2 linked regions of the Mytilus edulis genome follow. Each later gene encodes a partner of the first gene's protein in a complex. Links are inferred from orthologs where the notes say so. Each region holds a gene or a part of one and is shown on either strand. Other genes may lie near its edges. The genes, in order: 2-oxoisovalerate dehydrogenase subunit alpha, mitochondrial-like; 2-oxoisovalerate dehydrogenase subunit beta, mitochondrial-like.

Region 1 (7,341 bases):
CCGGTTCTTGTATTTTGTTCCACACAAAAATGCATAGTCAAAATTTGACATCATGAACAATTGGGAAAAAATGTAAGTCCAAGTAGTTTTACCTCATCCTCACACGATATAGAAATACTGTTCAAACCAAACACATTTTTTTTATTATGTAGATAGGTATAGGAAGATGTGGTATGAGTGCCAATGAGACAACTCTCCATCCAAGTAACAATTTATAAAAGTAAACCATGTTTTTTACAAGAGAGATAGCTTGAGATTTCTCTGGGTAGCCTGCATTTTGTTTGAAGAAAACCACAATATTAAATTATTGCCGTCTTCCTCAAGAACATAAATGACATCTTGTACGGAATTTCCCGACTGACTTTGACAAAGTATTGGCCTCAGAATAATCATATAAAGAACAATTCTTAATAAAAATTTACTATTTAATATTAACTTCAGGAAAAAAATGTACGGTGACACCATCTTTGTTTTGAAATTCTGAAATAATTTTCTAAAATCTATCTTCTCGTATTATATTCTGCAATTCTTTCATTTAGTTTATCTTCTAGTCACAAACTGATGGTTGTTCCTGTATAATCCGCACACAATCATGTTGTCATTTATTCACAATCTGTAGCTTGAGAAAAAACTCGGTGACCTATCATTTGGATTATATTTTTGAATCACAATATATACTTCGCCTTGGCAAAGTATGAACACATTCTATCATCTTTAATTCATTATCCCATACCACCTTAAATATGTCATGCATACCACTTAAAATTTTGATTTTCTTTCACCCACTGATTTTTTGTTGTTGTGAAATTACCATACAACATATCAAGTGAGTTTTTTTTTAAAGACCATACTATTTTAGTTTCATTTGTAGTCAGTCATAAGGGAGGCAGTCAAAAGCTTTTCACAATCCACCAGGATAGCTGCAAGGTATTTATTTTGGTATAGGGCTAATTTCCATTCTTCAATCACTCTTAATAAAATTGACCGACATCAAATGCTTGATATAAAAGCTGCAAAAAATAGATTGAAAATATTATCAAAGTACTGTCGTACTTATTGTACTTCAGTGACATAAAAAAAAAAAGAGTAGAAATGGCCGGTAACACATAAGTTTTACCGGTCTATAAAAACCTTTTTCTACCGTATTTTTTTGTGAATAGGTACAACTTGAGCTTCCTTATTATGACCAGGGACTGTTTAAAAGGATGGTCGAAAAATACCAAAGGGACAGTCAAACTCATAGATCGAAAACAAACTGACAACGGCATGAATAAAAAAGAAAAAGACAAACAGACAAGACACAACATAGAAAAATAAAGCCTAAGCAACATGAACCCCACCAAAAACCTGGTAGTGATCTCAGGTACTACGGAAGGGTAGGCAGATACAAGCAGATCATGCAGTCCAAATGTGACACCTGTCGCGTTGCACATGTTATTACAAATCCGGTAAATAGTCTAATTCGGTTAGTCACATTCGTGAAAAGGGAAGGAGATTGTACGGGTATATTCCATAAAATATATTTTTGAAGTTTCATTCTTTACCGTTTCAATTTTTGATAAGTTCTTAACGTATTTTCGATGATTTAACTATTTGTCATCATTTCAAAGACCATTTTTCTATGATCATGCTTTTTATGGAAAAAGTAATTTGCCGTTTTCCAAGACATGTGAATAATTAAATTTGACAGTAAATTAATTTTTCGAAGCAAATCCTTGCAGGTTACTTCATATTAGATATATTGTCTTGTAAGACTCTGGCTTTGACTTTAAAATATGCCGAGTCAGAATCCTATGATGAGATGATTTTAGAGACTGAATACAAACGAGAAGCATACATAATCAGCGAATATAGCTACTCTACTCAGAATCATCGAAGACTGGAAAACGGCACTTGATCAAAATAAGTTTATTGGCTCAATTCTAATGGATCTATCTAAGGCTTTCGATTGTCTCCCTCACGATCTTCTACTGCTTAAGCTTGAGGCATATGGTCTTTCGACTTCCTCATTAAAACTCATTAAAAATTACTTATCTAACAGGAAACAATGTGTTCGAGTTGGCTCTAGTCTGAGCAATTGGCAAAACATATATAAAGGAGTACCACAAGGTTCTATTCTAGGTCCTATACTGTTTAACATCTTCATTAATGACATATTTCACTTCACCACAAACAGTTCATTTTACAATTATGCTGATGACAACACATTATCTTATGCAAATAGAGATATAAACACCGTTATCTCCATACTTGAAAAAGACAGTTTGGCTCTGATAGAATGGTTTTCTTCCAATCAAATGAAGGCAAACCCTGAAAAATTTCAAGCTTTGGCAATTGGCAAAACAACAATGGGCAAAAACATTACATTTGATCTAGCAGGTAACAAAATAAAATGTGAAAAAGAGGTCAAACTATTAGGCATCACCATTGACTTTGAACTAAATTTCAACACGCATATATCAAACATCTGCAAAAAAGCATCCAGACAACTAAATGTTTTAAAAAGACTTGGCAAATACTTAAACAAACTTGGAAAACTAACAATATATCACTCCTTTATTATGTCAAACTTTAATTTCTGCTCATTGTCCTGGCATTTCTGCAGCGAGGCCAACACTACAAAAATTGAAAAAGTACAAGAAAGAGCACTTCGCTTCATTTACCAGGATCACAATAGCACATATGAAGACTTACTTTTAAAATCAAAAATGCCATCACTTAAAGTAAGACGCCTAAGAACCATGGCAATAGAGGTCTTTAGAACAGTCAATCATGAAAACCCAATGTACCTCCATGATCTTATAAAGATTAAAAAAACAAAATATTCTTTCAGATACCAAAATTTAGCTGAAATACCTGACGTAAGAACAACAAGGTATGGCTTGAAATCTTTCAGATATTCTGCTGCCAAACTATGGAATGAGTTGCCAAACCACTTTAGAACTGAAACATCTTTTACCCAATTCAAGAGTCTAATAAACTCATGGAATGGCAACTCATGCCATTGCAATGCATGTGCTTAGTTTTATTTATTTTATGTTACAGCTTGAAAATAATAGTGCTGCTTTTTGTGAATGTTTGCTTAGCTTTTTATAATTTATGAATGCTGTGCTTTATTTTTTATGTTTGCTTTTAGTGCTTATTCTTATGCATGTATAGAATATAGTATTTAAATAGTGTAGCCTAAATGTGCATGAAATGTATGTTCTATGTCTTTTATGTTTTAATATTTGTATTGTGTATGTTTGTTATGTAAATGTATGCATTTGTCGGTTATAAAAGCTCAGAGAGCTTATGTTTATTTGTTATGTAACATGCCGACTATAAATAAAGCTTTGAATATTAAGTGCCTTACAGTGATCTACATTAGTTTCATAATATGTATAACGTGACGGTACCCAAATTGCACCTATTTTGACAGTTTTTTCACCTACGTTTTTTTATGATAAAGACAAAAATTTCCATTCTGTGTTTATTTTGTAACCGTATCCTTCTTTATTATAGAAGTACATCAATTTCATTTTTAATCCATATGGAATCAAAGAAAAATTGGTCTAAACTGACCTCCAAACCATCAATGATTCTGAAATGAGGAGTACCCAAATTGCATCCATGCTTAAATTCGCACTGTCAAAATTCTAATAACAGAGCTTTTGTTTAATTTCTTCAAATATTTTGAACAATTGGATATTAGTCCATGCTTACTCTTTATTTTTTTTTCAAATGGATACTTGTAACATATTGTATTTGATCATTTTAAAAAGATGACGTTTTGATGACGTCGCATGGCGACGTTTCAGTACAAATTTTTAGTTTTTTAGTAAACACTTCACCTGTTGATAAATACTGTGAACGTTTTGTGCATATCTAAATAGTTTTACCTATGTTGAAAGATGTGCATAGTATCAGATCATAAAAATACAAATTGTTTACGGTCTCTAGGAAATCTTGTTAGATTATTTTTACTATTTTGGCTTAATAGGTGCAATTTGGGTACTCGGTGCAATTTGGGTACCGTTACGTTAAAACTTTTATATTGATTTTGGAACATTCAAATACGATAAGATAAGATAAGGTACGAAATAAAATTCAAATTCAAATTTAAAATATCTATTGAGATTGATTAATTGTATTATATGTCTCTGATTTGCATAAGGTCGGAGTGACGTCCATTCTATATATTCAACACAGATCATATTTCAATGATTAAGATTTTTAAAATAACAGATTACGCCGTTTGTCTGAAACTAGTAATCCCTTTTCGACGTTCTCTAGAGTTTTCCATTAAACAATTGTTTACTATGTAGTTGCTTTGAAGGACAAAATATTTTATAGAAGAAAACGAAATGGCTTTGCTTAGACGTCTTCTGTCTCCCAGAATAACACAGATAATAGGCTTTCAAGCTAAGCAACTGTCAACGTCTTCCAAATGCCAAAATGTGGTTCGTGTTACTTTGTTTTTTATTGGGTTCTTTTTGTATAATTTTGTATTTTTGTATTTTTTTTTTTGTATTTTTTTTTTATATATTGACATTTCTCCGCACAAACTACTAAGATCTACTAATGCCTCATGTTTGTCTTCTCAAAGTGAAGATACACTTACCGGGTGCACTTGAGTCATTTTCAACATAGTATTCATTGAATAATAATACATTGCTACTATTTTGTTGAGTGTATTTTCTGAGTTATATTATTTTATTTTATTATTTTTATAACACTTGTTACATATCTTTACTGTGTGTGTATTGCATATGTTATTGTTTATAAAAATATTGTCTGTATCATATGCCCTCCTGGGGCCCTAATTTGGTAAATAAAAATATTCTATTCTATTCTATTCTGTACATTAGTCGTCATGCAGTGCATTTACACAGGAATCCGGGTCCGTTCGCCCAAATTCACTTTTACGATCGCACCCTGTGAAAGTGTGAATAATTAATAGTGTCATGTTGATAGTTCGCATACCTGCCAACTGACATTATTTGTGGGGTATTTCCCCCATGGAGGCTCCAAAATGGAAATTTTGAAAGAGCAATTTTGTCCACAATTTTTAGGTACGGAAAGTGATTTTTTTAAAATCAACTGATCTAAGAAAACTTAACCTCATTTTAAAGGCATTGTGAAGACATTTTCAAAACACTTTTATCAATACACATAATAACAACGGAGAAATAGCAAATTTTCAAAATGGAAATTTTTTACTATTCTGGAAAAACTGTTTCCTCTCTTTAAAAAATAATAAAATATATTTTTTTTTAATCATTTGGGTTATAGTTTTGTTTATATTGCTTCTTTTACATCTTGTTAGTCAATTTTAATCCTCCATATTAAGTTTTTTGGTTAAAATAAAAGCATAAAGCATGAAAATGTCAACCACTCTCATGAAATTCTATCGTTCAAAGTCACATAACATGACGATAACTTTATATATTCCTTTTTTCAGAGCATCAGTTGGTATATTGAAAATGTAAAGTAAAACTTATAAACATTTGAATGTAAAGAAACAAAATATAAATATGAATATTACTCTTTATATATACAAATGTATATGTTTAATTGTGTGTGTGTATAAAAAAGAAGATGTGGTATGATTGCCAATGAGACAACTCTCCACAAGAGACCAAATGACACAGAAATTAATAACTATAGGTCACCGTACGGCCTTCAACAATGAGCAAAGCCCATACTGCAAAGTCAGCTATAAAAGGCTCCGAAATGACAAATGTAAAACAATTCAAACGAGAAAACTAACGGCTTAATTAATGTCCAAAAAATGAACGAAAAACAAATATTTAACACATCAACAAACGACAACCACTGAATTACAGGCTCCTGACTTTGGACAGGCACATACATACAGAATGTGGTGGGGTTCAACATGTTAGCGCATGCCCAATCCTTCCCCTGACCTGTCACAGTACAACATAAGAACGAACTATAAAAATCAGTTGTACCATGAGAGACAAGAATTGTTTTGAAATATGTCATGATTGTCATCTGTCTTTGTATAGTCATGATAGTTTTAGAATGTTCCCTTTTCATTAACATTCAATTTAATGAAATATTCTTATTCTTATATATAGCATGTATAGTAAATGCTTATGAATAAAAATAAACAACAAGCTTTTAACAATTATTCTACAGGACTAAAATACCTGTTGCACTGAAAAACAATGAAAATAATATAACATTATTTTTTATTCGAGAAATTTCAAACAAAATAATTATGTCAGATCACTGTAAATACTTGTACATGTATGTATAAAAGTAAAGTAAATTCATATCTGTATATCAGTTACAATATTAATACAGTGAAATCTGTAAACCAATCTCATTCAGGACTGAAGTTCAAAATGCATTGAATGTGAATAGCATTCGAAGTGAACTGCCACTACTGCATGGATTCCTATGTATGTTTTTAGTTGAACATGTTGAAAATACATATATTGATTGTTTTAAACCACATTATTCAGTATCCTTACTATCTCATGTGCAATGACAAGTGGTTGAACTATCTTTAAATTGCAATAAACTGGCTGTATAATGCAAAAAAAAACAACCTATCACCGCTGATTTCCAATCAAAACTAAACCAAAAGTTGTCCATGCAAGGGAAATAACTCTGTATACACAAAAAGGAGGCTTATTTATAAAAAATAATTTTGATATGAACACAGCTATCTAGATATATTTATTGGACCCAATTATTTAATTGATATATTAAACTTAATAAAAAAATACATTTTATGGCTGTATAAAGTTCCCTTGTATTTTTTTTAAACGAATGTAACTTTCAAACCCTTGTTTGTACCTCAAATATTTCATGTATTCCCGAAAATTATAATATACTAAATCATGTATATTCATATAATATCTATCAAAAGCAATCAGAACCTTCTGAGACTTAACAAGTTAATAGAAGGCTGTAATCGGAGGTCGCCCAAAGATTTTATATTTACACACATCTGGGAACAATTATTTAGGGTAATTTGGAGTTATCTCCCATTGGTTTGCCATACCTACAATTTTAAACAAAACAATAAAATGAACAATACACCTAATCGCTATTTATTCCATTCCGGATAAGTTTTAAAATTAAAAAGTTTAAAAATTTAAAATCCCGGTCGCTTGACCTTTTCAGGCATACAATATACATGTAATCACTTTTCCATTGTGACGTCAGATATTTTGTTTTATGACGTCAAAATTTTACAGGAACCTGTGTGATATCTTCTAATGGCGGACAAATCAGATAAGGTGTATGGCTATAAGTTTGTAAAAGTATAAACAACCAATAAACAGCATTTAAATATATTTGAAGGCCCCCTTAAAGGTTTTGAAA
Region 2 (7,120 bases), on another chromosome or scaffold:
CTATATTTCTCCTATTACTTCAACCACCTTTACAAAAATGTATACTTCTTTCGAGGGCAGATTGTGAGCGCAAATGAACGGTGACCCCACTTTTTTATTTTAATTTTCTATTAACTATATGATAAAGTTCATTTATAGAAAAAATAAAGAGAAATCCTATATAAATGATTTAGACCCGCGAACCCCCTTAATAGATTGTTTTCTTGAAAACTTTAGTTGACATCTAGAAGGTTTTTTTCTACTTGTGTTGTTGGGTTGATGTCTGAAAAATGCTCTGGATTCTTGAGGTCACTTTAAATTAGGATTTATTGATTTTAGTATTTAATTTAGTTAATATAAAATCATATTGGTAAATTTCTTGATTGTAGAATAAATTTCATCTTATTTTTGTACAGTAAATGTTTTTTTTCGCCTAAAAATATAAACTTGCCATATCTATCTTTTAATTCTACACTACATCTAAATACGCCACCGAATGCTACATCTTCTCCAAACAACACTGAAAAAAATAGATTTAAATCAAATATCAAATTAATATCAGAAGCAATGTTCACATTAAGAATTTTTGAAGGCAAGTACAATCTGTCCAGGGACTCATCATTTTTTGTCAACACCAGTTCATCAGTAAAATGAAATTTTATTACTGTACTACATAATTTATTACTTCAGTCTCTATGACCAAAAAAAAAAAAAAAAATGCAAGGAAATAATATAAAATTTAGAATATTTTAAAACTTTTGATATAAAATAATGAGATATTGATGCAGCATCTTTGCCATTCTTTGGACTCACTTATTTTAAAAAGATTAGTCTGGACAGGTTTTCACGAGTCCAGGACTTATGATCTACTCACCTTGTTGAGAACCCTGAGAAGAATAAAATCTTTCTCCAACAAAATGTGTCAATAGAAATTCTAATGCAACACCGTTTGTAATGTTCATTTTGATTGGATAACGTCACTTATTTACATGGCATCAATTGACAATTGATGTTATGGGACGCATGTGCAAACGCAGACGGCATTTGACATATTTTAAATACATGTTTTAACGTTGTTTTCTGTCAGTTTCATTAGAATGGAGATAACAATATTGTATTTTAAGCTCCGACGGAATCAATTGGGGATTTGATGGTCGCAAATATCTGTTTACTGTCTCTGCTAACGTGTTGCCAGTAAACTTTATTTGCGACCATGAAATCCCCAATTGATGCAGTCTGAGCTTAGAAAACAATACAGTTATCTCTTGAATATCAACCTTAGACACCAATATAATTCCAAGAACTCTGCTTTTTGCAACAATGACATCATGAAAATTAAAGGTATGATTAAGCCTTTGTAACTGGGATTGATATCAATATCATCACGGTTAGCTGATACAGCATGATTGCCATTGACCATATTACACACATTTTATCTATATTTATACAATGCATAATTTCCCCTTGTTTTGTTAATAGAAGAGAATCTATAAATATCAATATCATTTTGTTAGTTCAGTATTAAATCAGGAAGTTAAACATGTTAAAGTTTTGTTTACTAGACAACTAGTGGAACATTCCTTTCTAACAGATTCATAAATGATGTGGTGAATGCAGATGTTTCTTCTTATGTCATTATTTAATACATGCATTAACATTTAATTTTTTTTAACCAAAGGTTCTTTTTGTTTATATAATATTGTATACAGTACATGTATAGTTACACTTTTCTTTGCTTTCAAATTTTTAGATCTGAGCAATCAAGATGAGTTTTATTCAAGAATAAAGACAGAAGAGTTATCTCCCTTACCTGCTGATGGATCTGTAGATAATGCAATATCTAAAGCATTATTTACAGCTTGTACTAAATTCATACGAGTTGTCTCCCCTGAAAAGAGAAAGAAAAGGATTAAAAGATACAGCATTATAATAGATGAATAGACATTAACATAATGTTTCCAAAACAAATAATTAAAAGTAACCAATAATATTAAATGAATTGCAAATTTTGATCCTTCCAGCATGTGTCCTACAGCTGACAGATTGTGACATCAGAAATATTCTCTTGTTGACCTAAAAAAAAACCAGTAGACCAGATAATAGTGGCGAAGGCTAGGAGGAGATAATTCAAACCATAAAGCTTCTCACGCTAGCAAATTTAAATCTGAAATAGATACTTAGTATTTCAAGTGTCAAGTGATTTAAACACTGTAAGTGTAGAATACATATGTACTAGTGCAATGTCTACATGTAAGTAAGTAAGTAAATTATTTATTATAGTGGCATGTGTTTTTCACAAAATATTATATAATACACATGATACAGTGAGATATAAAAACAATAATTAGAACACCTGACCCTTTGGGTCTACAAGTCACTTTCGCCATAAATTTCAATGGTAAAACAACAAATATAAATGTTATCGAAAATTTTCATATAAGAATTTTTTTCTCTTACTGAAAGCTTGCAATAGATATTTAGCAGTATTTCTCGGATGTTGACATATATTTAAACTGTTCTTCATTTGATAGTATAAATATATTATATTGACAAATGTCATTTAATAGATGAAGCACTGGTTATGGGGTAGCCGGTCATGTAACATGTGACGTGTAAGAAGTACAGTTCACTTGGCTGCCTTTAATACATTCGACTGTGTACTGTATGACTGTGCAATTTTGATCCTAAATTAAAGTGTACATGTGGATGTTCCTCTTAACAATGAGCATGATGAGGAGGTTGTGATGTCTTATGGTCATTGTTGTCCATGCTTTCAGTTTGGATATTATTTGGAAAGTTGGATCTGTTTCATGCAATGGAGTGTGAAATAGTGAGCATTTCTTTGCATCAAAACCTCTCAATCCATGTATTGACAACAAATTTATCCACTTTTCTGTCAATGCAGGTATTAACCTTTAATCATCCTTGGTGCCATAAACAGAATCCATATCAAGTATTTTTAAAGTAATCTTTAAAGGGTATCTTTTATTGTTATATTTTCAAGATGTCATAATTATTTTTGATATATATTTTAGCAGGTGCCCTTTCCAAGTTCATTGCTACTGAGTAAGCAAATGAGTTACCGTGAGCAGCAGAGATTGTGTCAGGAACATATTGTACTGACGCACATCTGTGGACAGACAGAAAAGTCTGTAAATTCTTTTTTAAAAACCTTGCATTCTGCAAACACCGCAGAAACTTCCAGGACATAGTGTTGTTTCTGAAGCTAAATACACAGGAAGTGGATTTAAGGGCGATAACTCTAATATTTATTCAGAAATTTCCCCTTTCTGGGGTTTCCCACTTAAGGATTAGATTTCATAGTTACTTTTTGTTCATTATTTTGTCAAACCTTCTTTTTGGAATCTATGAAATATTTTTTTAGCGTTTTTCCTTTAATAATTTGTCAAAGTGAAAGTAGCTTTCTGCACTGAATATCCTTATCATGGCGTCCAAGGATTCATACGGAATCGTTGAGTGGTATGGAAATGGAAACGGACACCGCTGTGGTTATTGTAAAAGTCCAAATGGCAACATTTCAGATGGTAATTTTTAATGAATAATTCTCCATAATTATAGATAGTAATTGTCATGATCAACATTAATGAAAACAACAAATATGAGAGTTGTTGGCATGTTGCCATGACAAATGAAGCATCAAATCCCTATAAAGTGTCTATCATGCTCAATATATTTATTTTGATAATCTGCAAAGAATCACAAAAATACTCTTCAGAAACTTTCAAAATTGTGTATGATTTGGGCAAACGAATAAAGATCTATATACATGTAGATCTGTCTTCACATTTGTTTTAGGGTTTCCCCTCTCCACCCTGGTATCAGGTCCGTTCGCGCCCAATATACTTTCGCACCCTACACGTTCGCACCTCGCACGTTCGCACCCCGCACGTTTGCACCCAAGGTCCGTTCGCACTCTACACGTTCGCGCCCAATTTTAATTCAAATACCAGTTGAATAATTGGAAAATCATGATTGTTGTTTTTAATTGCTTTCGTGTAAATACTGAATGTATTTATAGCTTGGTATGAGTAAAAGATTGAATATGTTAGATCATTTTAAATGAAAAACACAAAAGATAATTGTTTTTAACAGCTTGGTCCCTTTGATCTGAAACAATGAAACAATAAAATATAGCAATACACTATTATAACCAAAACATGATAAAATTTATTCAACACACAAAAAAAACGTAGTCAGAATCTCACTTCATTTTGAAACAAGTCAATGAAACAAAGTTATAGCAATTAATACACTAACCAAAAAATGATTACGAGTTATTCAACACAAAATAAATCGTTGACAGAATCCCACTTTATTTAGAAAGGAATCTTTTTTTTTTTTAACAATACACTATCCAAAACATGATTAAGATTTATTCAACACCAAAAAAAAAATGCTGTCTCACTTTATTTTGAGACAACGAAAACAATTATACTTATAAGAATACTATACTTGCCAAAACATGATTACAAAGTTATTAAACTCAAAACCAATTAAAGTTGGGCGCGAACATGTAGGGTGCGAATGGACTTTGGGTGCGAACATGTAGGGTGCGAAAGTGAAAGGGGGCGAACATGAGTGGGTGCGAACGTGAATGGGCGCGAACGGACCCGCAATTTTACACAGGATTACTTAAAAATCCTTTTGATTTACTTCACTTGTCTTGAAATTTCCCTTGCATTGCTGCAGTCTTTTTTTTATTTTGAATGACATCATTTTGTCTTCAAACATGAGATTTATTCTAGAAAAAGATAATAATCATGATAATCTTCAATCATCATGGTCATTGATTTTTCAAAAATATGATATATATTTCACAAAATGGTTCAAGGAGGATTATTATGACCGTGCAAGGACTTTATATAGCCAGTCAAGGTGGTTAAAAAACCCAATACTTATTCAAATACAACATCTATAGACATAAATTTATATATATCAATGTAAAATGGCTGAATAAATAGTCAGGCCACACTTAAAAATATTTTGGTTTGCCCAAACTCTAACCAAAAATTAAGTCAATGGGTAGGTAGATAGGCATTTTCTTTTTTTTTTTTCAAAAAAAGAAATTGAAGTATCAGATGTTTATTAGTCTTCATGTCTATTTGATTAAAAAAAACTTCTTCAAATCAGGACAGTAAAAGAATTTGAGTAGGCAGCTTTTTTCTGGGAAGTTAGCGTTTGGGCAAACAAACCTATTATTTATTATGGCCCCAACGATTAATCTTACAGGGCGATGGATTATTTGGCATATCTTTGTAATCTTTGAGCCGGTGTTATATAGCCATTCTTCCCCCATGCCAGTTTTTCCCCCGGGGGTTGGAGAGGGGGAACATATCTCCCCAAAGGTTTGATTAAGTTTCACCCTTATAGGACTTCTTCTGAATGAAAGCTTTAAGGCGATGAGTATTTTTCTCAATCCATGCCTTTGATGGGTACTTTTACCTTGTGGTACAAAAATTATTTATCATGTAAAGTCAAAATCGTGGTTTAAGTAGTTGTATTCATTAGGTCAATGATACCAAGGGTTCACGAATGAGAATGGATGTGATCACTGCATCAGAATGTGCTTCGTTTGTATAAATATAACTTGTATGTATACATGGTATATATAAATACTTATCAATTTATATTAATACGGTGAAGCATTGGTACCGCTAAACTAATCAAAAAGTTAATATTCTTTTTTTAGGATAATAATTTCTAGCCGACTTTATAAATTTATAAAGGGGGAAAAACTAGCTCATCATGCCGCAAAGGGGAAAAATTGGCCTGATCCTCGTTTTCCCCCTATAACGTTGAGGGGGAAAAGTTGGATCATGCCAATTTTTCCGGGGGGAAATATTGGATCGATCCAGTTTTTCCCCCCGGAAAAATTGGCATGGGGGAAGAATGGCTATAGGACACCGGGTTCAGTGGTTGTTGTTGGTTCATGTCGTTTGTGTATGTTTTTTTTTGTAAATTATTTTGTAATCAATAATCCTGTTAGTTTTGTTTGTTTTGTTCCCTAATTTGTATGGTCGGAGCATTTTATAGCCGACTATATATGTTTTTTTCCCTCACTTTTGGAGGCCGTACAGTGGCCTTTTATTACTTACTACCAGGTCTGTGTAACTCCGGTGGATATTTGTATCATAAGTGCTATATCGTGGTCGACCCTATATATACACCTTTAGGGCAGGTGGAATATTTTTGTAGATCTTGTACAGCGAGTCACAATAATGGAGGTAATTCCTGTACTTCCACGTTTCCACTGCACGTCTCCCATGCTGGTTGGAGAGGGGGAACATATCTCCCCAAAGGTTTGATTAAGTTTCACCCTTATAGGACTTCTTCTTCTGAATGAAAGCTTTAAGGCGATGAGTATTTTTCTCAATCCATGCCTTTGATGGGTACTTTTACCTAGTGGTACAAAAATTATTTATCATGTAAAGTCAAAATCGTGGTTTAAGTAGTTGTATTCATTAGGTCAATGATACCAAGGGTTCACGAATGAGAATGGATGTGATCACTGCATCAGAATGTGCTTCGTTTGTATAAATATAACTTGTATGTATACATGGTATATATAAATACTTATCAATTTATATTAATAAGGTGAAGCTTTGGTACCGCTAAACTAATCAAAAAGTTAATATTCTTTTTTTAGGATAAAAATTTCTAGCCGACTTTATAAATTTATAAAGGGGGAAAAACTAGCTCATCATGCCGCAAAGGGGAAAAATTGGCCTGATCCTCGTTTTCCCCCTATAACGTTGAGGGGGAAAAGTTGGATCATGCCAATTTTTCCGGGGGGAAATATTGGATCGATCCAGTTTTTCCCCCCGGAAAAATTGGCATGGGGGAAGAATGGCTATAGGACACCGGGTTCAGTGGTTGTTGTTGGTTCATGTCGTTTGTGTATGTTTTTTTTTGTAAATTATTTTGTAATCAATAATCCTGTTAGTTTTGTTTGTTTTGTTCCCTAATTTGTATGGTCGGAGCATTTTATAGCCGACTATATATGTTTTTTTCCCTCACTTTTGGAGGCCGTACAGTGGCCTTTTATTACTTACTACCAGGTCTGTGTAACTCCGGTGGATATTTGTATCATAAGTGCTATATCGTGGTCGACCCTATATAT

The links.
Region 2: the proteins of 2-oxoisovalerate dehydrogenase subunit alpha, mitochondrial-like (region 1) and 2-oxoisovalerate dehydrogenase subunit beta, mitochondrial-like are in contact, whole or in part, in a crystal structure (PDB 1V16), measured with the Homo sapiens proteins. The link is inferred for Mytilus edulis from reciprocal best matches to the Homo sapiens genes BCKDHA and BCKDHB. Residues at the interface, in NP_000700.1 of Homo sapiens: Phe155, Leu185, Gly186, Lys187, Arg189, Gln190, Gly196, Cys197, Lys198, Phe202, Val203, Thr204, Ser206, Pro208, Thr211, Pro214, Gln215, Val217, Gly218, Ala219, Tyr221, Ala222, Arg225, Gly244, Asp245, Ala248, Asn251, Phe252, Thr255, Leu256; in NP_000047.1 of Homo sapiens: Pro89, Thr90, Val92, Asp117, Arg118, Phe120, Asn121, Thr122, Pro123, Cys125, Gln127, Gly128, Ile129, Gly131, Phe132, Ile134, Gly135, Ile136, Val138, Thr139, Asp158, Gln159, Asn162, Glu163, Ala165, Tyr167, Arg168, Tyr169, Arg170, Ser171.

The regions. Positions count from the first base shown.
Region 1 is NC_092346.1:74,984,786-74,992,126, reverse strand, and holds the start of 2-oxoisovalerate dehydrogenase subunit alpha, mitochondrial-like, read left to right. Parts: upstream 1-4,257; 5' UTR 4,258-4,346; coding exon 4,347-4,442; intron 4,443-7,179; exon of another isoform or gene 7,180-7,235; coding exon of another isoform or gene 7,236-7,256; intron 7,257-7,341. UniProt on the Homo sapiens protein: Together with BCKDHB forms the heterotetrameric E1 subunit of the mitochondrial branched-chain alpha-ketoacid dehydrogenase (BCKD) complex.
Region 2 is NC_092353.1:73,440,828-73,447,947, forward strand, and holds the start of 2-oxoisovalerate dehydrogenase subunit beta, mitochondrial-like, read right to left. Parts: upstream 3,239-7,120; 5' UTR 3,190-3,238; coding exon 3,063-3,189; intron 1,868-3,062; coding exon 1,790-1,867; intron 500-1,789; coding exon 431-499; intron 1-430. Other genes in the region: arginyl-tRNA--protein transferase 1-like, read left to right, coding at 3,425-3,524. UniProt on the Homo sapiens protein: Together with BCKDHA forms the heterotetrameric E1 subunit of the mitochondrial branched-chain alpha-ketoacid dehydrogenase (BCKD) complex.